Lytechinus pictus: one gene and its partners. The protein of the gene in region 3 interacts with the protein of the main gene of each other region in a pairwise test. Links are inferred from orthologs where the notes say so. Each region holds a gene or a part of one and is shown on either strand. Other genes may lie near its edges.

What was found.
Region 1: the proteins of thymidine kinase, cytosolic-like (region 3) and ergosterol biosynthetic protein 28 homolog interact in a two-hybrid assay, tested with the Homo sapiens proteins (2 studies listed by BioGRID and IntAct). The link is inferred for Lytechinus pictus from reciprocal best matches to the Homo sapiens genes TK1 and ERG28.
Region 2: the proteins of thymidine kinase, cytosolic-like (region 3) and histone-lysine N-methyltransferase SETDB1-A-like interact in a two-hybrid assay, tested with the Homo sapiens proteins (2 studies listed by BioGRID and IntAct). The link is inferred for Lytechinus pictus from reciprocal best matches to the Homo sapiens genes TK1 and SETDB1.

The regions. Positions count from the first base shown.
Region 1 is NC_087251.1:6,119,868-6,130,850, forward strand, and holds the start of ergosterol biosynthetic protein 28 homolog, read right to left. Parts: upstream 5,133-10,983; 5' UTR 4,830-5,132; coding exon 4,808-4,829; exon of another isoform or gene 4,666-4,807; intron 4,664-4,665; exon of another isoform or gene 4,219-4,663; intron 763-4,218; exon of another isoform or gene 757-762; coding exon 613-756; intron 1-612.
Region 2 is NC_087253.1:10,917,471-10,928,734, forward strand, and holds the start of histone-lysine N-methyltransferase SETDB1-A-like, read right to left. Parts: upstream 4,236-11,264; 5' UTR 4,191-4,235; coding exon 4,094-4,190; intron 3,327-4,093; coding exon 3,224-3,326; intron 2,198-3,223; coding exon 1,887-2,197; intron 1,698-1,886; coding exon 833-1,697; intron 1-832. Other genes in the region: histone-lysine N-methyltransferase PRDM16-like, read right to left, coding at 6,768-7,694. UniProt on the Homo sapiens protein: Histone methyltransferase that specifically trimethylates 'Lys-9' of histone H3. H3 'Lys-9' trimethylation represents a specific tag for epigenetic transcriptional repression by recruiting HP1 (CBX1, CBX3 and/or CBX5) proteins to methylated histones.
Region 3 is NC_087254.1:30,595,421-30,606,329, reverse strand, and holds the start of thymidine kinase, cytosolic-like, read right to left. Parts: upstream 4,804-10,909; 5' UTR 4,663-4,803; coding exon 4,597-4,662; intron 1,920-4,596; coding exon 1,888-1,919; intron 770-1,887; coding exon 656-769; intron 312-655; coding exon 218-311; intron 1-217. Other genes in the region: uncharacterized protein LOC135155821, read right to left, coding at 7,791-10,373; uncharacterized protein LOC135155728, read right to left, coding at 10,579-10,909. UniProt on the Homo sapiens protein: Cell-cycle-regulated enzyme of importance in nucleotide metabolism. Catalyzes the first enzymatic step in the salvage pathway converting thymidine into thymidine monophosphate.

The DNA of each region.
Region 1 (10,983 bases), on a different chromosome or scaffold from region 3:
GGGAAGAAATAAAATATCATCATTGGTTTTAACATATTTTGTCATTATCATACCTATAATTAACATACACGAAAATCAAGTTGAAAAATTATTTGTCCGGGGGTCAAACTCAAGGTTAAAGTAAAGGTCAAAGGTCATGACCTTATAAATCACTCCAATACATTATTTGATGCATGTTTTGGATTCCTCTCTGAATTTCCTTTTGAATGGTACCAGTTTTGTGAAAATTGGTCAACACGTTACGACGCAATGGCCATTGAAAGTTGAAGGTCACGCCCATTTTTGTCAAAACAAGGATAAAAGGGCGGGCCGTAGAACGAGAACCGATTGGACTAATTTTTTTGTTTTGTGCCTGGGCCATGGGGAATTTTTTGTGTACCAATTTACAACAAAAACTGAGAGGGTCGGGTGCAACCACTGGGTGAATCCAGATGGAATGACCCTGGGGCCTATCCTGGACTATGCATGAAGCATGGCATAGGAATGAAATATCCATTGATAGTGGATAAGTCTGGAGGCTGAATAGCACTAGAAAAATGTAATTAACATTGAACCAGACACACCGACTTAATCATAGGTTATCATGTCCCTAGATTTATCACTCTAACTTACCCATCTCTTGAGCCTGTGTGTACATCCGTGTTGCAAGAAAAGAACTTTCCATGAAGGCCTGCATTGCACTTCCTACTGCCATGAAACCAACCAAGAAGATCCAAAATCTGAGCACCTTTGTGAAAGCATTGGCCATGGTGATATCTAATCCTCCAGTCCAGAGAAATGTAAGAGAAAAAAATATTTTCAATTCACTTAAGCTCAGGACCCATACTCACCTAGCAACAGTTGCCTTGCATTTAGTTTGTGTAATTACTACTAGGTCAGAGGTGTACATTACTAAAATGCTGAATGAACATCCCCCCTAAAATAATGAACGAGGCAATTGCTAGTTGTAGTTCAATGTGATCAACTAGGTCCATATACTTATGACATTTCAAAAACTTAACCTTGGTTAAGATTTCGATATTGATTCCCTCAACATGGTCTTAAGTTCGTTGACTCTAAATTAATCTTACCCTAAATGATCTTTGACCTTGGTCAAGTCACCTGAAACTCAGGCAGGATGATAAGTAGGCATAATACTTGATTGCCCTTATATCTACGTTTCATGAACTAGGATCATTTACTTTCTAAGTTATGATGGCTAATTAATAACTTACAAAAGTACATTTAGATAAAAGTTGACTTGATACACATTACTGGTTCCAGGGGTGGATCCATGATTTGCCAAAATGGGGGGGGGGGGGGGGGGGGAGGCACATTTGACAAGCAAAGAAAGCAAGAAAAAGTTTTTTTACCCAAAATTAAGGACATTTTGTCCACGAAAAAAATTGAGAAGAAAAAAAAGTCTTCACTTTCAAAAGGGGGGGGGGGCACACTTCTGTTTTACCGGCATTTTTACATTACAAATTTTAATTGCGCCTCTCAAAGGGGGGGGGGGGCACAAGCTGGATTTGGGAGTTTGCCCCCCCCCCCTAGATCCGCCAGTGACTGGTTCAGGACAGTACTGGGCAATTCCATGGAAAATGTTCACTTCAGTGAAAAAATAAAGTTTAAGATTTCACTTAAGGAGTCAAATTTTCTTAAAAAGTAATCTATAATGTTTGATTTTTCAATAGACAAATCGCAAAATTGATAAAATTTTGCATTTTTTCCATCACTTAAAAAGAATAGTGAATTGCAAAAAAATGAAAAAATGTGGCTATTTTTAAACATTTCATTCTTCCTGTCTCTACAAAAAGCAACTAAGGTCCCAGAGGTCTCGTTGAACTTTTAAATAGTTGATTAATGTTTACATCAAGAGAAAATAATTGTTAAATTTGTGCCATTCATTAATTTTAGAGAAATCGATCTTCAGATTTGTGTTATTTCTTTTACATTACCAGTGTCATTTCCGTTACGTTTTTCACTTAAAGTTTTCATAGCTAACAGGAAATTTGTCTGAAGTTACTGCAAAGTCAGATTCTATGTTAGAATCAAACGCCCTACCATGTAGCAATCATTTTCCCTTACCAATTCTCATTTTCATAAAAATTGTGTAACGGACATGACACTTTGCGTATTACATGACACCTTATATATAACACGAGGCAGCATTCACAAAAATGAAATATTGGGCTCAGTGTAACAGAATGATGGTCAGTCTCAATTGATTGAGGGTAGCTGGATGTCAGATACAAATACTATTAACTCATTAATTCATGAAATCTGCATATCATTCAAGCTAAAATTGAAGTTGGTGAATGAGGAAAGTTCAGCTCTTGTTCTGGTAGATTTTTCTGAGAATTACCGGTATGACACAGATTATCAGGATTAGATGCAGCTAGCTCTGGCAACATACTCAGATCTCAGTCTGCATCATTCGTGTTTGAACAAAAGATAATTGATTGTCTTAGGTGTTTGCAGGGAGATATAGAACATGATAAAATTGCAACTTGTGCATTCATGAGATCATTGATGGCGCTGGCTCACAATTAAAAAATTAACTGGTGAGAATAGGAAACAATTTAAAACAATCAAACAAATACACCACTTTGAATGTGAGCAGGAGAGTCAATACTAAAATAACCAGTGATGATGAGCCACAATCAACTTCATCCTCTCTTTGGCAGTAGAGGTGCACGGCCAATATTGGAGACTGTCTCCAATGCAGGAGATTATCTCCAATATCAGAGACTTTTGTAAAGAATTTGGGTATCCAATTTCAGAGACAGTCTCCAGTTTTGGAGACCAATATCCTTTGTTTACATTGGCTGCAAAAGGATTACCTTGGCGGCAAATAAAAATGTAATAAGGAGATTCCTCATGAAAAATTACCCCTTTTCACCGCCTACTTTAAAAATTCACTCTACTTTTGTTTTGATTTTATAAGGATTTTTGTTGTCAATCACACACAAAACAAATGGGCTTCTGACCTCAGTGAGACAAAATTTTGGGTGGAAAAAATCATGCTTTTGTTGGTGTTGTTTCTTTTGTCCTTCTGCAAAGCAAGTCTCCAATGTGGGAGATTGTCTCCCCTATTGGAGAGAGTCTCCCATATTGGCCGTGCGCCTCTAGAACTACTGTTCGGAAGTACAAGTTAACACTTCTGTGTGAATTGAATTTTCTACTAAGAAAATACAAAAATACTTTGTTGCCCATGTGACCACCTAACAAGAAGATGGGCATCTGGGTGTGTAGGTCTCGCTTAAGTTAAGTTAAGTTATGCGTCTTGTAGTTGTATTTGTATTTGTAACCTTGAAGGAATAATCCCTAACTTGGGCCTAAGCAGCTCTTCCAAGCGTCTATCGGAAGAGTGTCAAGGGATCGTGATGAAGAAGTATATGTCAAAATATTTAAAAATATCATCACGAGGCTCAATTAGGCTAAAAATGATGACCGGTCAAAGTCAAGACAAAACCACTCCTAGTACCAATGAGGTCCAACATTACATGTATGGACCTCATAGGCGACATCAGTAGTATTTTTGGTTAGAAATCTCTGAGAACAGGATATTTAGGCAATTATATCATAAGTACAAGCTCTATTCCTTTCTCTTATTTAAATTATAATTTTATAGTGTAAATGCATCGTTAGCAACAACAAAAAATGAAAGAAATGAAGGGGAACTTACATTTTCACGGCTTTTTCCTGATTTTCTGGGCAGCTGCTCTTCTCTTCTGACTCGCGATCGAAGCTGATATGAAGATCACGTGATTCGCGTTCTCGTCAGCTGATCGGTTGGTTATTCTTTTCGTCAGACGTTAATAATATATATTTTATAATGCTAGCATTCATCGCTAATTTAGGTGAAAGAGATTGAAGTTAAACAGCGCCAGGTCGGAATCATAATTATTTTGGAAGAGTGTATTTATACACTCGATCTCATACCTGACGTAGACGGCGCTATTCAACAAATGCACAATCTTCAATATAAAAAATAAAACAGAAAGAACGCCTTGAACACAGGCCAAAATGCCTAACGATTTATCCGCGGCATTAACAACTATCGTAAAGGGCGCTCCATTTATCAATAAAGATGGACGCTAAGCTGTCTATGGCGACAAAATTTGCCGCAAATATTTACGAAGAATTGTGAGAAATGGTCTGAAAATGCAACAAAAGAACCGGTGAGTACCGATTAAAGTTTAAACATTATTAAAGTTATAAATAGATTATACATACCTTGTAGATTTAGTTTTTAAGGTGATATTAGTGCTTAGTTCTAAGCTAGGGAGGCCCAAACGCGCGTGAGTGGAGTCCCAGTTTATTAGCACGGGTAAGTATTGGGGTGTCGCCTAGAGTGGACAAAACAGTGCCGACAAACATGACAAAGCTAGTTTTTGCTAACACAAAATTTCAAGTGCGGGACTAAGTGAGGAGAAACGGCCAAGAAGTTACTTTGAATTGAAATTAGGCCTACTTAACATAAGACATTTTGTTCTCAGAAAGTACCAGTAGACTAGGATGGCCTAATGAAAAGAGTCAGTTACCTACAATCTCTTTTGTTGAAAGAACGATCGAAGGGAGGTATACCGGAATCCTCTGCCCGCCTCGCCTGCAGCTGCAAAATTATTTTCCCACCGTCGCGTCCGCGCCGGTATATAATATGAATCTGCGGAATAAGACTGCGCATGCGCGTGGACACTAAATATTCACTGTACTATTATCCATGACACAGCCTAACCAAGGAGATATCTGATATCACTACTTCCTTCCCTGCTCTAACTTAGCGCCCCAGCCATCTCTATGACTATGGCCCCAGCCCACTCACCGGCCGGCCACTCACACAACATGCGAGATTGCTAAACCTAAAATCCAGACTTTCTTTCTGTGGTGACCAAGAATATGCTCCGGCATTTAGGTCAGTTCTCCGGTTTTCTTCCAGTCTCATGTCTCTCGGAATATTCTAAGAATAGAACGGCGATCCGACTACCGGTACTAGTACTACTACTAGATTCAGAGACCGTGTGTGATAGTTGATGTAGACAGACTTGGTGTCTTTGTAGTACTAGTATTACGATATTGCGAACTTATGTGTGTGCGGCAGCCGGCAGGCGCAGGTAAGCGTGCACTTTACTTAGTATGGACTATGCTATGGTAGTGCCACTACTATTACTATTAGTAGTGGATCGTATTACCGAACACTTTTCATGAATTCAATCATATCAAACACATTATTCTCATAAAATTCACCAAACTTTCACCATGAATACACAATTACCTACAAAATATAAATAGGCCTATGTAAAAAATTTGCCGAAATCGTTTTTCCTTTTTTACGATATTAGCTTCCAATCGGACCCCTCTTCGCATGTGAAATATTTTGGTTACTTAAAAAGGTATCGTATTACCGAACGTGTGTTTTCTATGGGAAAAGTTGAAAAAACAACAAAAAGCACTGATGTCAGTGATGAGCTATTTTGACCATATTTTGTTATTTTTAGAATATTAAGACATGAAAAATGCGTTTTTTACCATTTTTCATCATCTTTCTATTATTTCAAGTTCTCTTTGGAAGGATGTTACAAAATTTTGAGCGTTGAAATTATTTTCTGATGCGTATGATGCGCGCGTTCGGTAATACAAGACCGGTCGGTAATAATACAATCACTCACTAATATACTGTACTAACTTAGTTTTGTGAATTGGGAAGTGACGTCTGTGTCCTGTGAACTGAGCTGAAATTCCACTCAGTCAAAATTAACAAAATTTTGAGATAGGCTAGCTTCAAGTTTAAGGGTGTCTGGAGAAAAATATTATTTTTCTTATTTCAAGAAAATATCACATTTTCTTTGTGAATTTGAAGAGAAATGACCTTCAGACTGACAGAAATGTAACAATTTTAACATTTTTGAAAAAAAATCTGATTATTGGCTGCAAAAAAGAAGAATGAAATTAGGTCAATTTTCAGCATTTCTCTGCCATAGACTGTGTAGTTAAGAAATGGACACACACAAATCTAAATTTTTAGCTTCCGAGTCCGAGAGCTGTGTTAATTCACTGGCGTAAATCCCAGGGGGGGGGGGGGATATATCCCCCCCCCCCCACTTTTCGAGGAGGGGGGGATGGCCTGTACAAACATCCCCCCCACTTTTTACGAAAGAAATGAAAAAAAATCACAAGAGATAATTGTTTTATTGGTGAAAATTCTTCCTGAAATACCGCTTAACAAATAAAACAATATTATTGAATCATAAAATGCAAATAAAGAGCCAGTTCACCATTTCCAAATGAAATACTTGTGTCCTTATTATAACATTGAAGAGAAACCCCCGTTTCTTCCAATTCATCAATGTTAGGGTCTTTGGAAGGGATTAAGATGGAATGTCAAAAAAATATGAATGTAATCTCTAATAAAACCCATTTGTTTACTGCAACCACCCTGCCTGTGGGGAATCTGCAGGTTGGACTATGGCATGCCAATGCTGTACAGAGCACACACTTAAAAAAATGATTAAAATATCACTTTTGTGACCAAAATTACTAATTTCCATACAGTTGCAATTTATTTTTCATTAGTAACTTGGGAATAATTTTTGTATTCACTAGAGCGCTCAAAAACTTGAATTTGGGGCATATTTTTGTGTACGCCCTCTATTGGTGGAAAATAAAATGGCAAGAAAATTTTCATTTTTGTATCTCTGTTTTTAATTAAGAAAAAAATAATTTAAAGAATCAAATTTACTTAAGGGCCAAGTTGTATGACGAATAGGTGTAATGAAAACTGTCAGTGTAAAAAAAATCAAGCATTTGTCCCAAAGAAAAAGAGAAAATTTGCCAAACATTGCCATCCTTATTTTGCCACACATGGAGATATAACTGAGAACAAGGTTATATCATAACCTTGTTCATTGAATGAGTGATAAAACCATTAAACCATCATGGGGTAAAAAAGATAATAATATTGGAGGGGTATTTGCCATATGGACATACAGTGGCGTAACTATGGGGGGCACATCCCCCCCTCATCGGCTGACCAAAAAAAAAAGGGGGAAAAGGAGAAAAGAGGGAGAAAGGAAGAGAAACATAGTGAAAGAAGAAAAAATTATTCATTATAATATTATATTATATTATAATTATGTTATGTTACATTACATAAGAAACATTTTTATCATAACTTTATGATTTGCCCAGGGCCTACGTCTTCATTGTTCCTGGTGCTCGCACTGTCTGTTTAACGAGATACATAATCCTGTTGTACTAAAACATCCCGTTTTCAAGTCAATACAAACCAAATATATTTCCTAGCACTTGAGTTATCATTGTTTTATGTAGTGACATATATGCTTCTTTTTCATGTCTCAAAAAGTGATTGCCCCATGTTAAGGTCTTCGTATATATGAAACATTTCCTGTCCGTGATTACGTTCGCATTAGTGGATTGGTGAGATATGTCTGCTCTTCATGAATTCCCCAAATCAGTCCTTAAAATGTTCCTTCTTCTGATCTGAATATCAAAAATTTTCAGCTCGCGCTTCGCGCTCGCATCATTTGGTTAATGAAATACGTATGGTCCTAGTTATTTCCTACAAAGAAACCTTAGAATGCCCCACTTCAGGTCTGAATTATCTAAATTTTCAGCTCGCGCTTCGCGCTCGCATTGTTTAGCGAGACAGGTACCTATCATAATTACACAAATTTGATTATAATGTCCCTTTTTAGGTGTGAATATAAAAAAAATTTCCGCTCGCGCTTCGCGCTCGCATTATTTGATCGGTGAGATACATATCCGTTTAATGACATTGTCCTTAAAATGTCTCTATTAGGTCAGTATAACTGGCAACTGAGCGCGCTTCGCGCGCTCACTAGTGCACTCACTCAGTGATTAAAAAATTTTGCTGGTGCCCCCCATTGCCGTGACCCACGGTACGCCACTGTGGACATATCAATGACAATTCCTTGCATATCTAAAAACATGATTGCAAAAAAATGCCAAAATATTTCAGTCATCCCCCCCACCCATCAACAAAGATTTACACCAGTGTGTGTTATAAATTTATTATTAATGCCAAAAACTTGTCCATAAAGAGTCCAATAGGATTTTTTATGCTCTTTCTGATGGTATGATTTTTATAAAGATTTGGAAACCAGATCACAATGAAAAATTGCGACAAAGTGTAAAAAATTGTGCAAAACAGAAATTTCATTTCCCATAGAAAACGCATGGGGAAATGGCAATCTCAACACACACAAAAATAAGGGTTTGCAATTTATCTCTAAATCCTTATTTAAAATGATCATATAAACTTGTCCTTACTGTCAAAAGAAGCCCCTTAATTTTCTCTTTCCATACATGCCAAACACAAGTTAATAATCAATTCAGATCACATTATTCTAGTAGCCTGAACTTCCCGAAAAAAATGTGCCATATTTTCCCCTAAATCAGCCTCTCTTATGCTGACACTTTTCAGTGTGGCTTCAGACACCCTAATAATCTTTCCTAAGCACATGTCAATAATTAAGTAGGGTTATCAATATCATTAAATATCAGACCAAAACTTAACTTAGGCTTGCCTTAACTTAAGCTTCGGTCTCTGTTGTTATTATGTTGTTTGTTCCGCTGAACTCTAACGAGTAACGTGTATTGTAATTCTAGTCTGAACGGTAATCCTGGGTTTTAGGGGCGTAAAATATTTTTATATATTACCGGCCTCTAACTTCAGCCAAATCATCCCAGCTTAGTATCACAGCCGGTTCGACTTTAAGACATTCTCGTATCTGTCACCGTGTTAAATTGGCGAGATCAATAACATAATTTCTACAATCACTCAAACTTTTTATAAAATAAAAAAGACATGCACGGGAAAATAATATTGTGCTATACAAAATTATTACATTTAAAAATTACATCGTGTACTTTGAGGTCCATAATAATCCATTTTACAGAGACGATCTTGTCACTCGTACATCCCCGAAAAAGTTGCCATCTTGAAAATATCGAGTTTCGCGAGATTTGACTTCCGGGTTTTATTTTCTCTCTCATATCATCGCCATTCGATGAAACATCAAATTTCTTTCTTTGCCAACGTGATTTCGAGTTCGAAAAATTGTTTTGATGCTGGAAATACGAAATGGATAGATCTAAGCAAAATTGTGTTTTTTAAAGTGATTTTTGTTTGCATACAATTTTTGTTCGGCCTGTATTCATCTTTTATTTCTCAGGCGACGTTTTCTTGACGCCGATGTATTAACTATGGAAGGTTTTTTCTTCGGGCGATGGTAATTTTCCGACTTCACAAATGTGTCGCATATTGCCCTCAAAGCTAAAACGCGAGGCGATGTCAGACTAATTAATGAGTCATAATTTTTCTTGAGTTTGAGCGAGGATGATCTGGTATTAATAATGACCCTTTTGAAATTGTTTGATATTTTAACAATTTGTACCTCTAATGAATAACAAATGTGGCATTGAACTTGTGCAGTGATGAGGTGAATTGAAATGAATGGGTCGAGCGGATCAAGCTGTGTGTCACTCGCTAGTGCAAAAATTAAGAATCTCTCAGAAATAAATGTAGTATCCCAGTCTTACAGAAATCAATGCAGACTCTCTTACATGTAGAAATGAATTATTTTTATGATAACATAATTATATCCCTGGAAACTGTGATTGTATTTATTTCCAAGAATTGTTTTAATTCCGTGTAAAATTATGATTCTGCAGTTGTCTTTATTTCTGTGGTTGCTTTATTTCTTTAGTTATCTTTGCTTCTAGAGTTTTCTTATTTTTGAAATTGTTTTATTTGCGAGGTCATCTTTATCTGAACGATGACATTCATTTGTAAAATATACTGCTATTTCAATTACGTTATTTTTTTTCTAAATCCTTTATCTATGATTGACAAGATTTATTTTGGAGTTGTCTTTTATTTCTAATTATATCAATTTCTGGTTAAATACTTTTATTTCTGACTTTATGTACTAGTCGTCCAAAGTAATGTATCAATTTCTGAATGTTATATTTCTGAGATACTACATTTATTTCGGAGAGTTTCTTTATTTTTGAGATTCTTAATTTTGGCCCTTTTGGCTGCCCATAAGTGCAGTGGTCACGGCCGGTAGAACATGTAATCTACACATGGCGTGTGTGTGTGCATCAATACAATTACAAGTCATGTGCAATCATCGGGTGTGAAGCCAAAGGAGACACATGGGTATGTTAGCCGGTATGTTAGCCCCCTCTTCAAATATATATTTTTTGATAGCAAATGGGTTACATCAGGGATGGAAGGGGTATATCTCTTTTCAAATACTGCAGCCTTTGAACAAAAAAGCTTACAGTTCCACAGCTTGTAATACACAATACACACAACCACATTTCATATCTTTTGCTCTCTCACTCATAAGCCTGGATCTCCCCACTTTATACTTGCAGCAATTCAGCCACTCTCGTGATCACATGACACATGCACACACATCATATCCACATATCATTCAGCATTGCTGGAGTCATGAGATACATGTACAGTGCAACCTGCAAATTTATGAGTGTTGGGAGTAGCAGCCAAAAACATAATCTCATGAATAAATTAGCATGCTCCCCCCCCCCCCATTTCTCTGCCAAAAAGTTTCAAAGAATGTTTTTTTTTAGAGTTGCAATTAGCGCCAGAATAGACTACATACAATGCAAGTTTACCAAATGTTTTTCCAAACCACTCACTTGCTACGCTCACTTGCATAATGAGATATAGCCAACATATGCATGTTAATTTTTATTCTAATCAGCCTGATTCTAATAACAAAAAATCCCTTTCAAAACAGTTTTGCTCAACTTAAGTTATTACCACCAAACACATGCAGATACATTGTACTTCAGGCAGAAATGTAATTTCATGTTGAAAATATCGGTTTGAACCCAATACCCTTTTTGACATACTAGTGCCTTTTCTTTGCTTTGCCCCTACAAATGAAAGTATGTTCTGCTGCTCCTGTGTAAGTTGCTAATTACTCC
Region 2 (11,264 bases), on a different chromosome or scaffold from region 3:
ATCCCAGAATATAAAACAAAATACGTAATGACATTAAACAGGAAATACAAATAGGCAAAATATCAAGGCATATAGGTTAAATTTCAAAATGAAAACTACAGCAGGGTAGATGATCATACCAATAACACTTGGCCTTGTGGACATTCCCATTTCTATATAGCAGCCACTTGCCTACAGTGACCACTAAAACCGATTCACAAAGAGACAGGTTACATTATATTACCCGGAATATACATGTCATGTAGCAGTCACCTGTCTATCGAGGTCATACAGTGTATCTTGTGTCTCTCTTGGGTGGTCATTATAGACAGGTTGAGCAGTACTGTGTACTGTACAAAGTCAAACCTGCTATAATGACCACCTGTAAAGAGTGACCACCCGTCTAAATAGACCACAATCTATGTTTTTCTTTTGAGTATTTTTCCCCACTGAAACATGTATAAAACGAACCTGTGCATAAAGACCATCTGCTCAACTACACAGCTCCCCCCCCCCCCATACGTGGTCTTTCTATAGGTTTCACTGTAAACATATATTTATGCATTATTTATTTATTCAATTCAATTTCAACAAAGTAACCCCATCACTGTTGTTATACCTGGGGCCCTGCAAGGATATTGATATGAAAACATGGCATTGCAGTATGCGGAGGGGCCGGTTTCATAAAGGACTTAGAACTGTTGTAACTTTGCCATTATGGCAGCTATGATAACAGGGCTCAACAGCAGCAGCTTACCACAATCAAGGTTTCCACGGTTGTGCCATGATGGCAAAGTTAACATGGTTGTAACTCTTTATTAAATGGGCACCATAAGTTTCAATCAATACTTACGTTGCTTCATCATCTCCAAACATCATTTCTTCTCCTTCCATCAGATGAGCATCATAGTCAGCCCCATGGATCAGTTGAACTCCTTGACGAACCTTTCCAGGACTTCCATCTTGTCCAGGAATGGCCGACGGTGCTCTCGCCATAGCTTTGACGGGAGTATTCTTCTTGGCAGCAGAGGTTGCTGGAGTGCTACTCACCATCACGATGTCATCGTCATCGTCAACGATCTCCACAACCTCGGAAGAAGTCTTGGAAGGTTCTGCAGATCCTGGAGGACGTTTTCCTGCAGGAGCAGAAGGGGTACCTTGAGCCTTCCCATGTGGTAAAACCTGAAGGACTTGCGATGATGGCTGCACCAGCTGATTCTGCTGTCCATCCTGGATCTTCAAGACGACTTGGCCATTGAGGGGTACTCCTTGAGGATTCTGCAAGAGCAAAGTCTTTACGCTCTTTACCTCCTGACCCGCTGCATTCTTGGCGGTGGTCAGCATGAGGAAACGCAACGGCGCGTTGGGCTGTTGCGCGTTTGGCAAGTTCTTCGGCCGAGGAAGCATGGAGGCCGGTATGACTATAGTGCTTGTGTTCCCGTCTTGTTGAACCTTGGCAACAGTGGTTCTCCCAGGAGTGCTTCCTGCACTTTCAACCGTTACCGTCTGGGTCATGACAGGTGCTGTCGTGGAGGATGCTGTCGATGCTAAGGTGGCAGGGGACACACTAGCTGCCTTCGGGGACTCCCGAGTACTTGGTATTGATGATGATGACGATTGAGGTGGTACTGTGGTGAGTTTGGAGACGGGTGGGGCTTTCTGTGGTGAAGTACGTGGCGGTGTTGCTGTCTTTCCTACAGTCTCCTTTTCCATGGGTCCTATGAGAAATGCAGAAAGCCATTTATTAAAAGCTTCAAAAGAATGATTGCAACCTTCAATTATCAGAGAGCAACATACCAAGTAAGTATACAATACACCTGCATGAGAATAATGGGAGTTAAAATAAATTTCAGATCTATAATTAATGTGTTCATTCCAGGAGGAAAGTTGAACAGCATTTTCATTACCGACTGGTCGATTTGAAGGGTTGGGTGGCGTCAACCGTGCCTCGTTAGCTGATCGTTTCTGGCTCGTCGGAGGTAGGTCAGTTTTTCCAATGAAGATGATCTCATCTTCAGAATGCACATCATCATTGTCGCCATCGCCCATCTCGTTGCCACTGTCGTGGTCATCGTCTTCATCAGAATCGATGTCGAGGAGGTCCATCTCTTCATAGAGTTCATGGATCGTCTTAGGGTTGTTTGGTGAGATGGGCGACTTGAAGAGGTGGTTCTTGTCATATTCATCTTGTCTCTCCTTCGCAGCTTTCTCCTGTTCTCTGTAGAAACAAGCCGATATAAAGGGGTACATGAAGCATGAGCATAAGCTTGATATGGGCCCTGTCTTACAAAGAATTGCGATTGATCCGATCAATCACAACTATGAATGGCCAGCAATGTCAACATCTATCATGCATGTTTGTTCAAAATATTTTCTCACTATGATGCATATTCAAGCATTCATTGTTTTCATGAAAATTCACTGTGCTTCTCTTTGTTTACGAAGGACATCGTGCAAATTTCCTGTAGACAAAATTATGACACTGATGGATTTCCATAGAATTACGATTGATTGGATCAATTGTAACTCTATGTAAGACGGGGCCATGGTTGACCGAACAACACTTTAATTATCTTGTTTCATATAATTTCCAATAAGGGGAAAAAATCACGGGGCTTGGGGCTTGAAATTACGTAATATTTTGTGGGCGCATGTCAGTCCCAAAATTGCTCAAAAACATGATTCCGTATACAAAGTCAATACAAATTGCGTTTTTCAACCAAAATTTATAAATGTATAAATATTTTTACTTTTGTTGTTTTAGATGGATTTACTTTATGTTATTCAGAATCCCAAAAGGGTCCCCAACAAAATTCATCAAAAAAAAACAATAAAAACAAATGTTGAAAAAAACAAAGAAATGCATAAGAATTAAAAAAACAATAAAATACATAGGAAATTAATTATTTTTTGGCAATTTCTTGTATACAGTCTTGGAGTTTACATCCGGCTCTATGTGCGTGCAAATTTTCACGGCGATCGCGCAATCAACAAGATCTGAGGGGGGGGTCAAATTGACCCCCCCCCCCCCCCCCAGTATATGTTGGTCCGAAATAGCCCAGTTGGCCCGAAATAGGTTTAATATCCAATGTTGCAGATTTAGACAGTAAGTTGTGAAAAGTAGCCCCATGCAGTTGCCCGCAAGTCTGATTTGGACACACAAAATTTGTGAACATGCTTTGTTATGGGTGAGTTGGGCTTGCAGAGAACGATGTGACAGGGTCTTAATACAATGACCACTCACCCTTGCTTATTGAGTAGACCCTGTAGTTCGTCATGGAGCTCTTCACATCGGTGGTGAATGGTCCCGATATCATTCAGGAGCTTCTCATTCTGGGGTGTGACATCTGTGTACAAAAAGATATATTTCAAGAGAGTCATATAAAAAAAATGTCATTAACATTATTTGAGCTTTTCTGGAATTTATACAGAATATACAGATAGACCTATTGACTGCTCATTGGGGCAATAGTAAAACTATTGCGCCAAATAGATCTTGAGAATATATGTGTACTATTTTACCCTGAGAAAGAAGGTCAAGAGATAGTAGGCCTATATCTCAAAATCATTGAAGAGTAATGGTTTTTGCTATTGCCTAAATAAAAAAGTAGTCAATATTTTACAAATTATATTGCTCTAATAAATAAATATTGCTCTAATCAAGTTATGCAAATTGGTATACATGTATATTTCAAGACAAAATGTAAATGGTATCAATATCTAGTCCTGTGAGCGAGGTTTAAAGTAAAGGAGGGAAAGTAAATGAGTAAAACTGCAAGGGGTTCAGTGGGCGGCGCGACCAAGTGGGGGCTGTGAGGGGGGACATCCACTACTCCATTACCGTAGAGAGCTTTTTGAGTTTTTAAACTTTTTATTGCTTTATTGGTCAACATTTATTACTTTGAAATACCCTAGTAGGGGTTCAGGGGTCCGTTGCAGAAAGAGTTGCGTTTAAACGCAAGTAAAAATATCAATCGCAAGTCCAAAATACGCACTGTTGATTGGATGAAAATCAAGTTGCGCATGATTTTTAGAGTTGCGTTTGATTGCAACTCTTTCTGCAACGGGCCCCTGGAATACATAGATGGAGTACGTGATAAAGGAAGGCATTTACCAGTATTAAACCTTGTAATTTTCTTGTCAAGCTCGACAAGTTGCTCATCTAATCCAGCCGTCACCTTCAACATGAATGCCTCAGCAATCTCTGCCATCGTGAGCCTCTCAGTTTAGCTTTCTAGTCACACCAGTAAAGCCTAGAGATAGACAATATATAGACATGATCATATTTGACTCACTCATCCAATGCAGATGTGGTCGGAGGGAGGAGGGGGGGGGGGGTTAAGAATAACCAAAAATGTGACAGATTGCCTTCTGGGGGCAAAACTAAATTAAAGTTTCACCTATTTTTTCTATTTAAAAAAGAAAGTTTGTGGGCTACATTTTTTACATTCCACCAATATTAGAGGGCCTCACAAAAGATAAATTGCCAATTCGTCCTCTGCCAACTCGTCCACTCAACACATGGTCTACCTTCATTTAGTCTAATGCCATTCCATCCATCAACATTTCGTCTAACAACCATTTGGTCCAATTATCACTTCGTCTAATCACCAGTTCGTCTATTACCATTTCGTCTAATAACCAGTTGGTCTAATACCCATTTTCTTTTCATTCATTTTGCACAATTTGTTCTTTAGTTTAATTAGACCAAATGGTATATGGACTAAATGATTATTGGACCAACTGGTAATTAGACGGAATGGCATTAGACTAAATGAAAGTAGACCAGGTGGTGAATGGACGTACTGATGGTAGACCAAGTGATAGTAGACGAGTTGGCAATTGGACGAAATGGCATTAGACGCATTGGAAATAAACCCTCACAAAATATAAGCTCAACAATTCTTACAATGAAAAACAGATCATAAATCAAACGGAATCAAGTATTTGTTAGTAACAATTTATCTCTTTTTTTGGGGGGAGGGGTGTTGTATAACCAGACTGGGTGATTGCAGATAGACAGCAAGTGATGAGAACTTAGTGCCACTGGGCAAAAATGTAAAGATTAAGCAGAATTTCTACTTCGATCCTCCCCTTCTTCAAAACCACTCATCCACCTGAACTCGATGATTTTCTTTTCTCCTACTCCTCCCCGTCCCCCTTCTCCTCTCTGTAATCCTGGGTTTTAGGGGACTAAATAATTTGCAAACACCAAAGTGGTTGCTTTATAAGCTTCACCCAACTCATCCCAGCTATTATCACACTGTAAAATAATTGATAGATCTAAATATAGCCCTCCCCCACACCCATGGGTGATGCCACCCCACCCTGTTACAACCGGTAATCTCGCCGCGATGGCTATAATGCATTATTTACATCTGGGATCAATGCTTGACATCACAATCTGTATAGTATTATCCATTAACAAATCAGCTCCTAACAACATGGGTAGAATTACCGCACAGAAGGCACAGAAAGCTGTTGTTAGGGGATTAGAGTTAGGCAAAATTTGTGCGTAGTGATCTAGATTTAACTTAGATTTAGTTATGATTATTTGCACATCCTACAAGTTTAAAATCTTGTCTAGGAAAGGGTAAAGGAATTAATTCATTATCATATAGGCCTACAAAATTGAGTCATTATTACATTTTAAACATGAAATGGCAGCAGGTAGTAAATATATATTTACTAATTTAATTTTTAAAATATCAAATAAGCTTCAAAAAGATCAAAAAAATTAGCCTATCATGATATTACTGTGGCGTAACCGAGCTCTGTTGGGGTAGCGTTCTGCCGTCTCGCAGTCTCTAGAACCCGGTCCACGCTGTTCTTCACTCATTCAATTGTTTTGGGGGGCAGATTCTCTCACAAAAGTCTATTGTATAACGTGGTACACTCTCTTCCTCTCAGACCTCTCTGAAATACATCGAATCAAGCACTATAACACTCACCTTATAAAGAAAGCACAGTGGAAAGATCTAGTGTACGGTGTAAGTCTTAGTTTAATATCGGGAGCTACTATTTACAACTGCACGTCATCACAGCTCCGAGCGAACTGACGTACTTTTCCATACCAAGTATCACAACATAAAAATATCGCCCTCTACGATCAACTATGAAATACATCTTAAACGTATAACTCATTATGCTACACAGCCCCTCCCCAAGTCTGGGCTGTCCTCGGACCAGGTATAAAACTAAAAAGACTAAAAATAAATCCTTTCAAAACTCAACTCACCCTTCAAGAGTGAAACATCTTTGGCAGAAACAATAAGTACAAAAAAAATATCGTTAAGAATATACAGGTATATACAGGTATAGCATAAAAAGAAAGCACTCTTCTTAACACACTTATGAGTTTGAAGACATCTCTAAGACTTCCTAAAGAAAACCAAATAACATTTTGAGTTTCATGTCCAAACATGAGGTATTAAATGTTTTGTATAAAAAGTAGATACTGATCTTTTTTTTTTCAACTGCATGATCGATGACATCAAAATATAACTTTAATCAAGCACTGTTCTCACAAAACAAGAACAAAATGATATATGTACAGAAATATATAGAAAAAGCGGAGAGAGTTGTAGAGAGAGCAGAAAAATGTCAAGATGAGGAGGATATAGGAAAGATAAGAAGAAAGGCAAGGAAGACATAGGTTATAACATACATCAAGGCAATAAATCGGAATACAAAACAACAAGACGGAATGTTTCTCACGGAAGAGATACTGTTTTTTATATATAACAAAAGTTCTTAAAAGTGTTCTGGATGATGAGATCTTTAGCTGATCAATCTGTTTCGGCCTTGGTTGTTCCCACCATCATATCCACCGTAAACTCCTTTATGACTTCGTCCTCCGATACTAATTCTCCATTTCGGAACACTCGGCGCGTGGTTTTTTCGGTGATAGTTTTTAGGTTTCCGATAAGTCCACGCTCCAAATCCTCTACGGACATAGCCGGACCCACATGCCCCTCACGTACATGATTAATCTTGGTGTATGAAGCTTCAGGGACCGACTCGACAGCTTTTACCACCACCATGTGGTAGGTCCGTGCCTTTTCCTCGTAAATAGATTTCGATCCTCCGGAAAACACGTATGCTGAACTATGTTCGGCTACTCGGACTAAGTTCCCTGCTAAAATCCTGGTCGGTTTCAAGTCACCGATAGGCTTTCCCAACTTCACTTTCTCAGGCAAGTCCATGCCCCCCTCCTGTTCATCTTCAAGATCGGACTCAGACTCCTCAGACTCCTCAGACTGCTCATCTTGCACCTGTTGACGCAGGAGGCTAAGTGGTTTCCCACTGAGTCCTGGGCCCATTTTCCAAGAATTTACCGCTTCCATAGTGCCAGGAGAGACGTCGACTTGAATCTCTGCTTCAGCAATGGTTGGCTCTTGTACCTCACTGCAGATCCGAGTTGTTGTCTTCTCCTCATGTTCTCGAGTTTCCCGACCTTTTTCACGTTCACGTTCACGTTCTTTCCCTCCTTTGTCGCTCAAGTGGACTTCCGACCTCACTTTTGAACGTCTCTCATGACTCACCATGTGGGCCCTAAGGTTATCTCTGCGGGAATACCCCTTCTCACAAATGTCACAAGTATACAGCCTTTGACGTCGATGTCTCTCGTCGATGTGTCGGTGCAGACTCCTTTTATGTGAGAACCTCGCTCCACAGTCGAAGCATTCAAAGTCAGACGCCACCCGGTGCCTCATCTTGAACCACTGTAATCAAAAGAACACAAACAAAACAAAATTGATTGAATTCTGTCTCAAAATGTCAGAATATATCACATCTGTCACAGGTTACATGCTACACATTAAATCACATATCTAGCTGGCGGATTTCTAGCTCTTGGGGGATTCTTTCTTATTGCCGGAACAGGAGCCTTTCGCGGAGCTGGTACGGGAGGCTCCTCAACTCCTGAACCTTCCCTCACAATTGGGTCTATTCCCTCCTCTCCTACCTGGAGTCCCTCCTCTCCCACCTGGAGTCCCTCACTCTGATCGAGAACTCTCTGCTCATTTTCATGAGCCTCTAACCAGGACTGAAGCGGCACTCCCTCGTAGGGCTTCAACCTGTCCACATGTACTACCTTCTTCTTGCCATTCTTCTTCTCCTGAATCCGGCAAGTAACATCCGACAATTGTTGAATGATTAAATATGGACCTTCCCACTTTCTCTGTAGCTTTGGGGACAAGCCTTTAGTCTTCGCTTTGTTATGGAGCCAGGCAAACTTCCCAACCACCAAAGGGCTTCCCTCCGCTTTCGCATCATAGGTCTTCTTTTGCCGGCGGGCACTCTCTGCAAAGTTGTCTCGGGCTCTTTGGTGCGCTTCTTGCATTCGTTTCCTCAAAACAAATGCGTAATCCGTCTCCACATCAGTCTCCTCTTCCTCCCCACTCCTCAATACCTCCGTTGTGAGATCAATAGGAAGATGGATCTCCCGCCCTAACATGAGCATGTTTGGCGTCTCTTTTGTGGAGTCCTGGGGGGCACTGCGGTAGGCAAATACTGCCACTGCCAGCTTCTGATCCCAATCTCGTTGCCGCTTATGTGGTTCGATCATCATTGAAATCATGTTCAACAAAGTGCCATTGAACTTCTCAATGAGGCCATCGGATTTCGGATTGTAGGGGGTAGTGCGGGTTTTGCGAATGCCAAGGATATGGCACATTTCCCGGAAGACACATGACTCGAAATTTCGGCCCTGGTCTGAATGTAGGACTGTAGGGACACCAAACCGGCAGACGAACTCATTGACAAATTTGTTGGCAACTGTCTCAGCTGTCTGATCCGGTATTGGGTAGGCTTCCATCCACTTGGTAAAGTAGTCACCCACCACCAGGATGTACTTGTTTCCTCTTTCCGTCTCTGGGAGGGGACCAACAATATCGAGCGCAACCCTTTCCATTGGCATCCCAACAGAATCCTGTTGCAAGGGGGCTCTCCGTCTCTTCACTGGAGACTTCTTGGAGGCACAGACATTACATTGCCGTACCATCGACCGGATGTCTGCATCCATTCCCACCCAATAGAACCTCATCCTGACCTTTTCTCTTGTCTTGTTCTGGCCAAGGTGCCCACTTGATTTGCCACCATGCAATTCCTTCACAATATCTGTCCGAAGTACAGTTGGAAGCACCACATGCCAGGTCACATTCCGACCTTGGTCACACTCCCACTTCCTGTGGAGTATTTCCTGCTTCATGTCTAGCTGTGCCCACATCCTCCAATAGGACTTTTCCACACTAGACTTGGAAGCCACCGTTGACCAATCAGGACGGTCTAAAGACTCCTGCTTTGCTTCCATGATCCACCTCAGCGAAGGATCTTGCTGTTGGTATTCCCTCATCTGTTCATTGCTAATGCCCGGTGTCACTGTTACTGCCTTGGCCTCTGCAAAGTTATCTCCCGTTATCTCTGCCTCTGAATCTTCTCGGTCCTCAAAGTCCCGCTTGCACTGAGGACAAGGTCGTCTTGAAAGGCTATCAGCGTTGGCATGTGATTTCCCTGCACGATGTACGATTTTGAGGTCGTACTCTGCTATCACTTGCAGCCAACGAGCCATCTGACCTTGCGGATCTCGGAAGTTCAAGAGCCAACGAAGTGCCCCATGATCCGTTCTGACCGTAAACCTCTGCCCGTATAAGTACTGTCGGAACTGCTTCAGAAATACTACCACAGCCAGTAACTCTTTCCGAGTCACGCAATAGTTCTTTTCTGCCTTATGCAGCGCCCTGCTAGCATAGGATATGACACGTTCCTTCCCGTCCACCACTTGAGACAGGACAGCTCCAATCCCCTCATTGCTAGCATCTGTATCCAATATGTACTCCTCTTTTGGGTCAGGGTACGCCAAAATGGGTGACTCCTGCAATCGCTGCTTGAGTTCTTGGAAGGCAGCTTCGCACTCTGCCGTCCAGGAGAATGTCTGACCTTTCTTGGTTAGGTTATGTAATGGACGGGCAATATTAGCGAATCCAGCTATAAATCTGCGATAGTAAGAGGCAAGTCCAAGGAAACTCTGTACGTCCTTGACACTTCTAGGGACTGGCCACTCCCTCACCACTCTAATCTTCTCTGGATCTGTTGAAATGCCTTCACCAGACACTACATGCCCCAAGTACAAGACACTCTCCCGAAACAAATGGCATTTCTTCGGTTTCAGTTTCAGACCTGCCTGCCGTAATCTCTGGAAGACCATGTCAAGTCGAGTCAATTCTTCCTCGATTGTCTTTGCAAAAACAATCACATCATCTAGATACACCAAGAGCACTTCCCAATGTAGACCTCCAAGGACCCGTTCCATCAACCTTTCAAATGTCGAGGGGGCATTACACAAGCCAAAAGGCATCACCTTCCAACTGTAGAGTCCTCCCCTCACAACAAAAGCTGATTTCTTCTTCGCTTCTTCATCCAACTCCACCTGCCAATACCCAGAGGCCAGGTCAAGAGTCGAAAACCATTTTGCACCTCCAAGTGCATCCAGCGAATCATCAATGCGGGGAATCGGGTATCCATCCTTGATCGTCAAGTTGTTTAACTTGCGATAGTCTACACAGAACCTCTTTGAACCGTCCTTCTTCTTTACAAGAACAACATTGGAAGCCCATGGACTGGAGGATGGCTCTATCCTGCCATTCGCCAGCATGTCCTTGATCTGCCGATCAATTTCTTCCTGTTCCTTAGGAGGGAATCTTCGAGGCCTCTCACGGATTGGAGGGCTATCTCCGGTGTTGATCTGATGTTTCACAAGACATGTTTTTCCTATGTCCGTGTCGGACTTTGCAAAAATGTCTTGGTTCTCACACAACAGCTTGGCAATTTTCCCATGGTACACCTTGTCAGTTCCTTCTTTGCTCCTTTCAAAGAGATCTTTCAGATGTTCAGGAACTTCATAGGTACCATCCATGGGCTGCGCGTTGGATTCACACTCTTCTATATCTTCCTCACTGATGAGAGACAGGTGTCCCGCCAAGGTACCCTTGCGAATCATGCATGCCTTGGTGCCAGGATTGAACACTCGAACAGGTAGGGTTGCCTTCTCGGTCCCTACAACTACCCGTGCGACGGCAATCCCCTTGTGAAGAAGTTCACCATCTTCCGCGGGTTCTATAAGAGCAAGACCCATCCCTATAGGGACCCCTGTTGCATGACCTGGAAGCACCACTTCCTGACCAGGTGGTACACTGACGTTAGACCCGACAACGACCCTTGAGCAAAATGCACCTCCTCGTCCATCAGTGCATTTGATTCTTGCTCCCCTGATCCGAAGTTCCTTG
Region 3 (10,909 bases):
AAAAGCTGAAAAAATATCAGTTTAATACAAAGTAAACTTAGTATTAACCCCATTCATTAAAAAAAAAAGACAGAATTTGAAAGACAAAAAATGTAACACAATAATAATTTGAACTTGTATCATACAAATCCACTCTAGAGTCTGTTCTCAAGGCGATTTTCAAGAAATTCTAAAGGAAATACTAATAAGAAGAATTGAACAGATAGATTGTACTTACAAATTGACCTTCATCGATTCCTATGACCTCATACTCCTCAGCAAGCTCTGTGACTGAAGATAGATTGCTAGCAGAAGTAGCTTTACATACTTGCCTAGTTTGCAGATAAGAAAGATTTAGAGAAATGTTAATAATATTCAAAACTTCTGAAGGCACTTGTGCAATAACAAAGCAATTAATGATTGTGTTGTTTTTTTACTGAATAATAAAAAAAGGTATTGAGCAGTCCAAACTGAAGGTAAAGAAAGAAGTTTACATCACAATAAATACAATAATTTACTTAAAAATTATGAATAAAAGGACCCAGACAGTTTAATGTGTAGGCCTTGTGTACGTCCTGCAAATAATTAAATTGAAGTATTTTGAAATGGAGGGAAAATATTTAAGGAAATGGGTATTAATTTACTATACGGTACATAAGTGTTTAGAACCACTCACCTATCATGAGTTGCTACACCATCCTTGTCATATCTTGTGTCTTTGTCGTATTTGATGAGAAGACAGTAGTGATTTGCAATCTGATAACGCTTTATCCTCCTGATCAGTTCAGTTCTGAAATATAGTAGGGGAAATAGATTCTCTGAATTAAAAATTCAAATATAGTAGTTATAAAGGGTAATCCAATCAAAATAAAAAGTTGTCTTCAGAGAAAAAAGAAAATCAGATAAGTAGATATGTGGAGGTGAAAGTTTGAACAATATCGGTAATAAAATAAGTTATGACTTTTTTAAAGTTGTAAGTTGAAATCACTTTAGCGATGAAGACTTAAATTTAGTTGCATTGATGATGTCAACAATGTAATGTAGGGACTATACTTCAATTTGCTCCAATTCGCAAAATGGCTAAAATGTAATTTTTTATTTTTACTTCAATTTCAAATTTCTTTTCATGTCATGAGAAGAGAACATCTATGTTAATGTTTGTAAAGGCAGTAGTACATAGTAGCCTATGGAAAAATGGTCTTGTTTGACATAATTTAGTTATAGCTGCCAATTTGAAATTTGCATTGTCCTAGTGGTCTCATTTCTTAAACAGCCATAGCTCTCTTATTGGTTACATGCAGTCACTGTTTCCTTCTAACTTTCACCATTCTGGTTTTTATTTTCTCTCTTTTTCTCTTCTCATCACACTCCATTTCATGGCCAAAGTTAGATTCCCTTCAACATACATGACTTATCCCCCCCCCCCTTGTGCATGTGAAGGGGGGGGGGGTCCTCAAGGGATTTTACGTTAAGAAATACATAATTAATTTCTGTTGAACTGTCATAGAAACTCGAAAAAGCAGCTGACTGCTGCATCAACACCAAGCTGGTATGTAAGCAATTACAAAGACAAGTAAGTTAACCCAGTCATACATGTAGTGGCTGACCTTATAGACAATAGAAATTACTCTCTGGCCTTATTGGTTAAAATAAAGGCCAAGCTGGCATTCAAACCACCTTTCAATCATAAATCCAAAGCTCTAACCACTAGACCACACAACTCCTAATTCATTAAGAACATTAAAAAAAACACAAACTAAACAAAACAAAATTCTTTCAAAAGGGCCACAGCCACCACACACACATTAGCCTACCTTATTTTCATTGTAAAACATGAAAGGCATATTTCAAGATGACATGGACAATTGATATGATAATCTTAATTTTAAAATACAAGTCAGTACTTACGTTTTACCAGAGAACATGGGCCCAAAGATGACCTGATAGGTTAAAAGAAAAACAAAAGATATAGTAATACATGTACATGTATTGGAGAGTGAACTGTAAGGAAAGTCTACTCCAACAGAATTTGCTTTAACCATGAAGTGGAAAACTAAACAAGCATACCACTTTATAATTTCATATTTTCATCAAAATTGGATATCAAATACTACAGCACATTTTCAAATTTTGCTTATTTTTTTCACAAAACAGTGTAAAAAAGTTTGGGACCAAGGCTGAAAGGGTCTATGAATAATAATGCAACATGAAACTTAAATTATGTCACAAAATCTAAAATATACTACCGGTATGCAGAGCATGACACTGGCACCAGGCCGACGATCCCAGACCAGCTAAAATTGCTGACGGGCCACTAACTTTTCAGAAATAGCCATACTAGTCCGATATGACCAGGAAAATAATATATCAAACTGAGACAAATGATATTTTCTTTTTTGTAAATTATGATAATGGCTCTGGAGTCTCAAAAATATGTCTCTCATGAATTATGTTGTGTGTTTGAGTGTGTACCTTGCCCTAGACCCCTAGTTATTATTTTTTATTCATTTTTTTTTGGGGGGGTAGGGGGTAACAATAAGCAATAAAATACAGCCAAATAAACTCATTTTTAAATGTTTTTCTTTATTTTCTTCATTTTGGGGACCAGTAAATTTTAGGTTTGGACCAGAAAAAAAAAAACTGGGTATCGACTGGTCCGACATGAACAGTTTGGACCAGTAGAATAAAAGGGTTAGTGTGGAGCCCTGCAGTATGTATTTTTATATGAAAATGAAAGTTTTAAAATTTCTATTTGTGCAGATTTTAATATGACATTTGAAGAAAAGTCCTCATTAGATCACAATAATAGAAGTTATCATGATTGTATGATCTTGTCCTCATTCCTCATACAGAGTAGTAGATCTATGTGAGCAGATCAAGTCCTAGATCTGTGTATTGAAATAGGGTTGGCAAAAACATGTTTGGACATTTTCTCGTTGTTACTTACTTTTTCTAGAGGATTAGAATGCTTGATTTTCTGCCAAAGCCAGTTTCTATTATGTTATATTTCTACAATTAATAAATATGCCTTGGGCTAAAACTTATTTGAAATTTTTACATTATATATTGTATCATTTTTTCCTAGCATAGTGCAGGACTAATAGGTTTCGTGGTACACCATCTTTCACGGGCAATTGTTTGTCCTGACAACCCAAACTCAACGTTTCAAGAAGTGTGTTCTCGTAGTCTTCAGGTAAGGAAAATGAGCAAAGTTTGTATACCGGTAAAAAAATGGTATGGTAGGGGGTCCTAAAGCTACGCACCACTCATCGCGCATACAGTTTTTATGGCAAATGTGCACTCTGTGTGTGGAACTGTGACTGCAGAGTGACGAACGATTCCTATTCAATTTTTTCTACAGAGGCTGCAGTAAATCTCTAAATGCAGAGAAACCAACAACTGTTTGGAATTTTGGAGTTATATTCGCTTAAATTTCATTTTATCCTATAATAATATGAATATATTTTAGAAATTGAGGCACAGGAAATACTATTTTTTTGCATGATAAATCGAGTGCGTGGTTTTAGGACCCCTTCTACATCGGGTGGCAAAATCAAGAGGTTTTCGGAGAACACGGCGGGATTTTCGTATTAGTGAGTTTTGCGATATTTTCTTCCTGGTTAATGATCTTTAGAATGTTTGCCACAAATTAGTGAAAGATATTTGTTGAAATATTAAAATTGGGATAGTTTTTATTGTTTGAAAACAAAGTGCGTAGCTTTAGCCCAGTTTAGGTCCCCCCCACTCACACGTATTGCGAGGTTAGTATTAGTATACTAACCTCGCACCACGACCCGCGTTTGGCAGTGGATTTCTAACTAGTGGGTCGCGCGTGCTGGGATCTCACTTCTTGGGTCCACAACACACGACTTCAATGGCTTGATTTTTCTGTGCGCGGCGGCATGTAATGAACCCTTGGGTGGGTCCCCCCATCATACAGCGGACTCAATGGCCATGTTTATGTACTAGTAATAGTATAGACCAAAAGCTTAGGTCTCTGTGTTATGTTGGTTGTTCAGCTGAACTCCGTTGGCTTCACTCACCAAATACAGAGACCGAAGTTCTAGCGCGATCTAGTACAGGGGACTCAATGACAATGGCCATATGTTTAGCCTATGTGTACTAAGTTTGGATAAAACGGGGAGGTTAAGTTGCGCGACAGCCGAGGTCAGTCACTGTTTTTGTTCCTTTTAACTTGATTTTCCCTGTTTTTTGGCAATTAATGCCATTTCGGTCGCGTTAATTTTCAAAAGTTTGAATTTGATTCATGTCTTACTCAGTAATTTAACTGTTAGGCCTATATATAGAGTAGAGACATTGATTTAACTTAAGACAAGTCAAGACAAAAATTGAAGAGCCCCGATGGGGGGATTTTGCATTGTAATAAGTCCCCTAATGGTGGCTGCACGATAGCGAGAGCCGTCTGTGTACGAGGAGAAATTAAAAAAAAAATAAAAATAAAAAAAAACTCCTCAAAAGTCCAAAACAGACGGCTGCCAGCTGTCTAGGCGCTGACTGCCTGAGCTCGAGCTCTGAGTCTGATGATGCAAACGGAGCTGTCGGGCCGGCTGCTGCACTTCCCTGCAGCCTCTCGAATCTCGTTCGCTTTGAACTCACCTGAATTTGTCCTTTATTTCTGTGCCCATGTCTCATTCCATCGATTGCATCTACACACGACATCATGATTATTGGATATACAGGCCCAGATGAGGTAAAGATGAAAGAATGACAAAAAATATTCCGACTAATTTTCTACGACTACGGTCGGAGTACGGGACTGGATCTGGATCGGATGTTGGAAGAATTAGAAGGCGGCTGGAAAATGAGCAGCGCGCGTCGCGTCGTTGTTCAAATTTGGCGCCAGGCCAGATCTAGGATCGAGGGGGTGGGGGCAATTATTTGACTAGACGCTCCTAGTCTTTGCCAAAGACATTTCAGATTTTTGCCCAAAGAAATATTACTCAAAATAGTCCGATTTAATGTTTCCACTCCCCGCTTTACACTTCAAAATATATTTTACATATCCCGGCCTGACATTTACTGTAAGACCAATCAAAACAGATCGCAGTGTCAGCTATATACTAAAACAATAACAATTATGAATACATTATTTTATTATACATGTAAGTGCAAGTGACACAGTCGATGGTTAAACCACAAATACACATGGGCGGAAATCCCAGGAGGGACAGGGGGGACGTGTCTCCCCTACTCAAAATAGTAGAGGGAACACAATATCAAATGTCCCCCCTACTATTTGTGTTTTATGATGGTAGGAAATACATCATTCAAAATCGAAATAAACCGTGTATTATACAAGATCACCTTACTTTTTTTTTTTTTTTTTTTTTTTGGTCAAATTTATTTTCGTCGAAATGACCTTAAATTGGGGGTGATAACCTTTCTTTTTTTTTTTTTTTTTTGCTTGTCAAATTTTTCAGCCTATTGTCCCCCTACCTTTTGGGAGAGATTTCCGCCCCTGCAAATAGGCCCTACATAGTCAATATAAAAAATCTGACAACTTTTTAATCCCTTTTTACCATTCAATTTTTACGAAAGAAGTCATAGTTACATGCAGTACGTATAGACCACTCCGTCATCTGCCTCCTAGCTGAAATGGGCCGAATAAAAAAAAATGTAGGCCTATCCCCCTTACTGTGCAAACCCTTCACACGAGTTAAGGGTCTGAATGTACAGCCTATATAATGCCTTGTGTACTGTTTACTTGCATACTATAGTAGGCCTATATATCTAACATATTTTCAGTAAAAGCCCTGGTTTTAATTTTTTTAGACACACCTACTCGACTTTAAATCCTTGTACCCTAACCCCCCCCCCAAAAAAAAAAAAAAAAGAGGAAGAGGAAAGAAAAGAAGAAGGAAAAAATGAATATTTGAATTTTACTTTATATATTTTTTTTTCCTTAAAGAAAACAAACGTGAATAATATTATAATATTTATGATGGCGAAAATAGTCAATTAAATTGACTGGTTGCCAAATAAAAAGAAGAACCCCCCCCCCCCTTAGGCTATAAAGCCTAGGCCTTGAAGGACAAGTCCACCCCAACAGAAAGTTGATTTTAATAATAGGAGAATCCAACAAGCAAAATACTGAAAATTTCATCAGAATCGGATGTATAAAATAAGAAACTGACATTTTAAAATTAATTTCGTTTAATTTCACAAATCATTTATCTGCCCATCCTGGTCTGTATGCAAATTAGGGGAGTGATGACATCACTCACTATTTCTTTTAAATTTTATTATCTGAAATATGAAAATTCAATTTTTTTTAATTCATTGTCCTGTACGTGAAACAATATTTTATTCCTCCCTGAACATGTACAATTACCATGCACTTTATGGTTCAGTCGAGTTAGTTATTATTGCAAAATCTGTAAAAATTTAAATATTGTACAATTCAAATAATAAGAAACAAAAGAAAAAGTGAGTGCGGGACATCGACTCTCTCATTTGCATGTCTCTAGATTGTGCATATAACTTGTGGCTGCCTCTATACAAGAGGAGTTTCCAATAATATACGACGAATGACAGGACGAGTTTCATATACGATTTACAAAAACTCTTTAATAATAGATGATTGTCGATTTTGATCAGAAGAATTATTTTGTAGATTAAGCGTTGCAGATAACATTCTGAAAATTATAGAACAGATATACAAGAATCATAAATACACAGACATATTATCTTCTCGTTTACACATTAGATTCATATTTACATAATTTAGTTAATCATCATCATTCACATTAAAACAACATCGATTCATCATTATTCTCATAATAAATATTTGGTAATAACAGAGTGCAATTAATAATCCAATAAAAGTAATCGAACTTACCAAATATGGCTTTCTGTTTCTTTCTGTATACTTGACACAGCCTTTAATTTTCCTTTTGACGTTAATACTGAAACCATGACAAATATTAATAACACGCGCGCAACTATTATGATTATTATTATTATTATGCGCAAATATACATGGCAACCATGACGCAGCAATCAAGATTAAAATGACACTGATTACGTAACAATTAATGCGCGCATTGCGTCGCAGCAACATGGCTCCTTTAACTGATTATCCAAAACAGTTACTTATATATATATATATACTTATAAACTTCAATTAGAAATATCTATAGCGCTTGCATAAAAATAACAATACTATAAACCACTTTTAAAAATATCAATAAACAATAAAGTATTCATGCTTTAGTATTATGCTTGCATGCTCTCATCACAGTTTGATAAGTGAATAATTCTAATAGTTCGAAGTTTCAAACGTTCGAAAGCACATTCAGGTCAAAACTATACGATAAAATCATAAAATGATAAATAAAAGAATGCATAATACAATATTTTGAACGATATCTCAAAATATAGCAAGCCTTTTTTTCTTTTCAAATGCATTTCCTTGATCCAATTTGATTCTTGAAACATCAAGAATATAATATATTAAATTTGTATATGTATCATGCCAAATAATGCACGTTGCAATATAAGCAATGTTTCGCTTATTTGGTTGAACAAACCAAAATGAAATATCACATATTCAAAAAGCACAGAAACAATTTTCCAAGCTATCAATAACTTTGCATATCAATCTGCTAATTGCCTATTGATATAAAAATAAACGATAATAATATAACAGTATAATTGTTCTTGTGTTTGGCTCCTTGCGGGGGAATCCCTAAATGTCTTTCGCGTAGATTATACTAGCCCATGTAAAAAGCAGTCTCTTTCTGTTATAGTGTCAGTATCACATTAAGAACAAATCTAGTCATCTGCTAGGATCAAAACGAGCTTATGTATGGGTCTTTCCAAAATCTAGGCTCATGCTTACGTTTACCGTCTTTTCGAAGATCGCGATCAGCCATGATCAGTTTCACTTTACGAACTCGGCCGTCATCACATTTGTAGGCTTCTGTCACTCTTCCTAGTGGCCACTGACTTCGAGTATCGCTGCAGTCTTTTACAATGACAATGTCGCCTATCGCGAGGTCACGCTTTGGATGGACCCACTTCTGTCTTGTTTGGATGTCTTGGAGATATTCACGCTTCCATCTACTCCAGAATTCGTTCGCTAGATACTGCACACGACGCCACCACTTCCGAGCATACACGTCTTCTCGCTGAAACTTGCCTGGGGGAGGCATCACAACTTTTGCCTTCATGGTTAGAAGATGGTTCGGAGTCAACGGTTCAGGGGCATCTCCTGCACATAGATTAGCTGTAGACAGTGGTCTGGAATTGACAACTGACTCCACTTCAGTAAGGAACGTCTGGAAGGATTCATCATCTAGTTGTGACCCTGAATTCATGAGGAGGGGTTCAAGGACTCTGCGTACTGTACCAATCTGGCGCTCCCAAACTCCTCCCATGTGAGATGCACTCGGCGTGTTCATCTGGAAGGGTATCCAATCAACTCCATTCTCTAGTAGATACGTCTGGATAGATTCCTGGTCCAACTCTCTCATTGCTTCCCGCAACTCGTTTCTAGCGCCAACGAAAGCAGTCCCTCTATCAGATCTGATCTGTCTGACTGGTCCACGACGAGTGAGGAACCGCCGGAGGCAGTTGATGAAGCTACTGCTTGTGAGACTATTTGCTGCTTCTAGATGAATGGCTCTTGATGCCATACAAGTGAAAAGTACTCCATATCTTTTCACAATACTTCTTTTTTCTTTGATGTTGAAAGGTCCAAAGTAGTCCACAGCACAGTATGTGAATGGGGGTGCCGGTTCTAGGCGATCTTTTGGCAGATCTGCCATCTTCTGTTGCTGCAATGGTCCTCTCATTTTTCTGCACAAGACACACTTTGATATGATACTGGAAACTGCAGAAGAACCACCAATCACCCAGTATCCATTTTGTCTCAGTTGATTATGTGTGATTCCTCTTCCCATGTGGTGAACCTGCTCATGCTTGTGTCTTATGAGCAATGTCGTCATATGAGAATTTCTCGGCATGATGACGGGATGCTTGATTTCGTCAGGTACGGCAGCTTTGTCGATTCTTCCACCAACTCGCATGATACCATCACTGCCAATGTATGGATCTAGACGATATAGAGAACTGATTGGCTTGATTTCACTGTTTCTCTTTCTTGCTGTCTGTCTGTCATTTTGCTCACCAGAGCCTAAGTTGCGAAGTACCATCAATTCGTCACGAAAATGTTCTATCTGCAAGTTTCGGATTATTTCAGTTTCTGCTGCATCGACTTCTGCAACTGTCAAGATAACACGTTGGAGTGGACGGTTCAATTTAGGGCTTGTCTTCCTCTTCACTTCTCTCTTTCGTAGTTTACTTTTGAACATCATACATAGTGCTACCACTCTCTTGGCACGTTGCCAGCTTGAGATATGCTGGAGGCGACTAATCTCGAAGTGGTTGGCTCTAGCAGTCATTGTAGACAAGGTCGACACATGTCTAACTTCTGGGTCATCTTTCTCACAGCTGGCTTTATACTGCTCTGTAGGAATCTTGAATTCTCCTTTCTCATGAAGAAACTTCGGTCCAACCAGCCAGCGGCTACTTTCAACGAGCTCCTTTGCTGTCATCCCTCGAGACGCCTCATCAGCAGGGTTGTCTTCTGTGTTCACATAGAACCATCTTTTGGGGTTTGTTTCGTCATGTATCTGTTGCACCCTATTTGCCACGAAGACATGGAATCTCCTTGCTTCGTTACGAATGTAACCCAAGACTACTTGACTATCTGTCCAGAAGAATTCTTGAGGTTTAGCCACTGTCAATTCTTTCCTTAGAAATGTACTCATCTTTGCTGATACAGTGGCAGCCGTCAGTTCGAGTCTGGGAATAGTCATCTGTCTGAGTGGGGTTACTCTTGATTTGGCTGTCACGAGAGAGCAACACACTTTGTCCTCTTCATTCACCAGGCGAATATAAGAGCACTGTCCGTAACCATCAAAACTTGCATCTGAAAAGTGATGTAACTCCGTACGCTTTACTTTGCCGAAGTTTGGAGGCTTGTAGCATCTTGGGACGTTTAGTTTCTCGAGTTCACTTATTTCAGATCTCCATTTCTCCCACTGTGGTCGGACGTCATCGGGTAAGGGGCTGTCCCAATCAAGTTTCCTTCTGCAGAGGTCCTGGAGAATCTGTTTTCCTCTCAGAGTCACTGGACTTGCAAGGCCGATAGGGTCATAAATTGAGCCAACAGTGGATAGAACTCCCCGTCTAGTAAGAGGGCGATCTTTAAGCTCAATTCGGAACTGCAATGTATCACTTTCCACGCACCAGAATACACCTAATGCTCTCTCTATTGGTAGTGGATCAACTTCTAGGTCCAAGTCAGCAATACCCTTACCTCTGTCTTCGATAGGAAAACTCTGCAGAACCTCCTTATTGTTAGACATTATCTTGTGTAATCTCAGTCCAGCTTTACTGCAGATTGCTTGACTTGCTTTCATGACACTCACGGCTTCATCTGGGGTTGCGACTGACTTAAGTCCGTCGTCGACATAGAAGTCATCTCGAATATATGAAGCTGCATTGGACCCAAACTCAGCTTCGCCATCATCTACTGCTTTCTTGAAGCCATAGTTAGCACATCCAGGTGAGCTAGCTAGTAGCGCCGAATAGGTGAACCTTCATCCTGTATTCGATCACGTTTTTGTTTGGGTCACCATCTTCCCACCACAAGAAACGGAGAAGGTCCCGATCTTCCTCCGACACGAAGAATTGGTGAAACATTCCTTTGATGTCTCCAACGACAGCAACTTCTTCTTGGCGGAACCTGCACAGTACTCCAACTAAGCCATTAGTCAAGTCTGGTCCTTGTAGGAGGTTGTCATTGAGTGAGATTCCTTCACACTTTGCTGAGCAATCAAAGACCACACGTATTTTCCCTGGCTTTTTGGGATGATAGACACCAGTATGGGGTACATAGTTT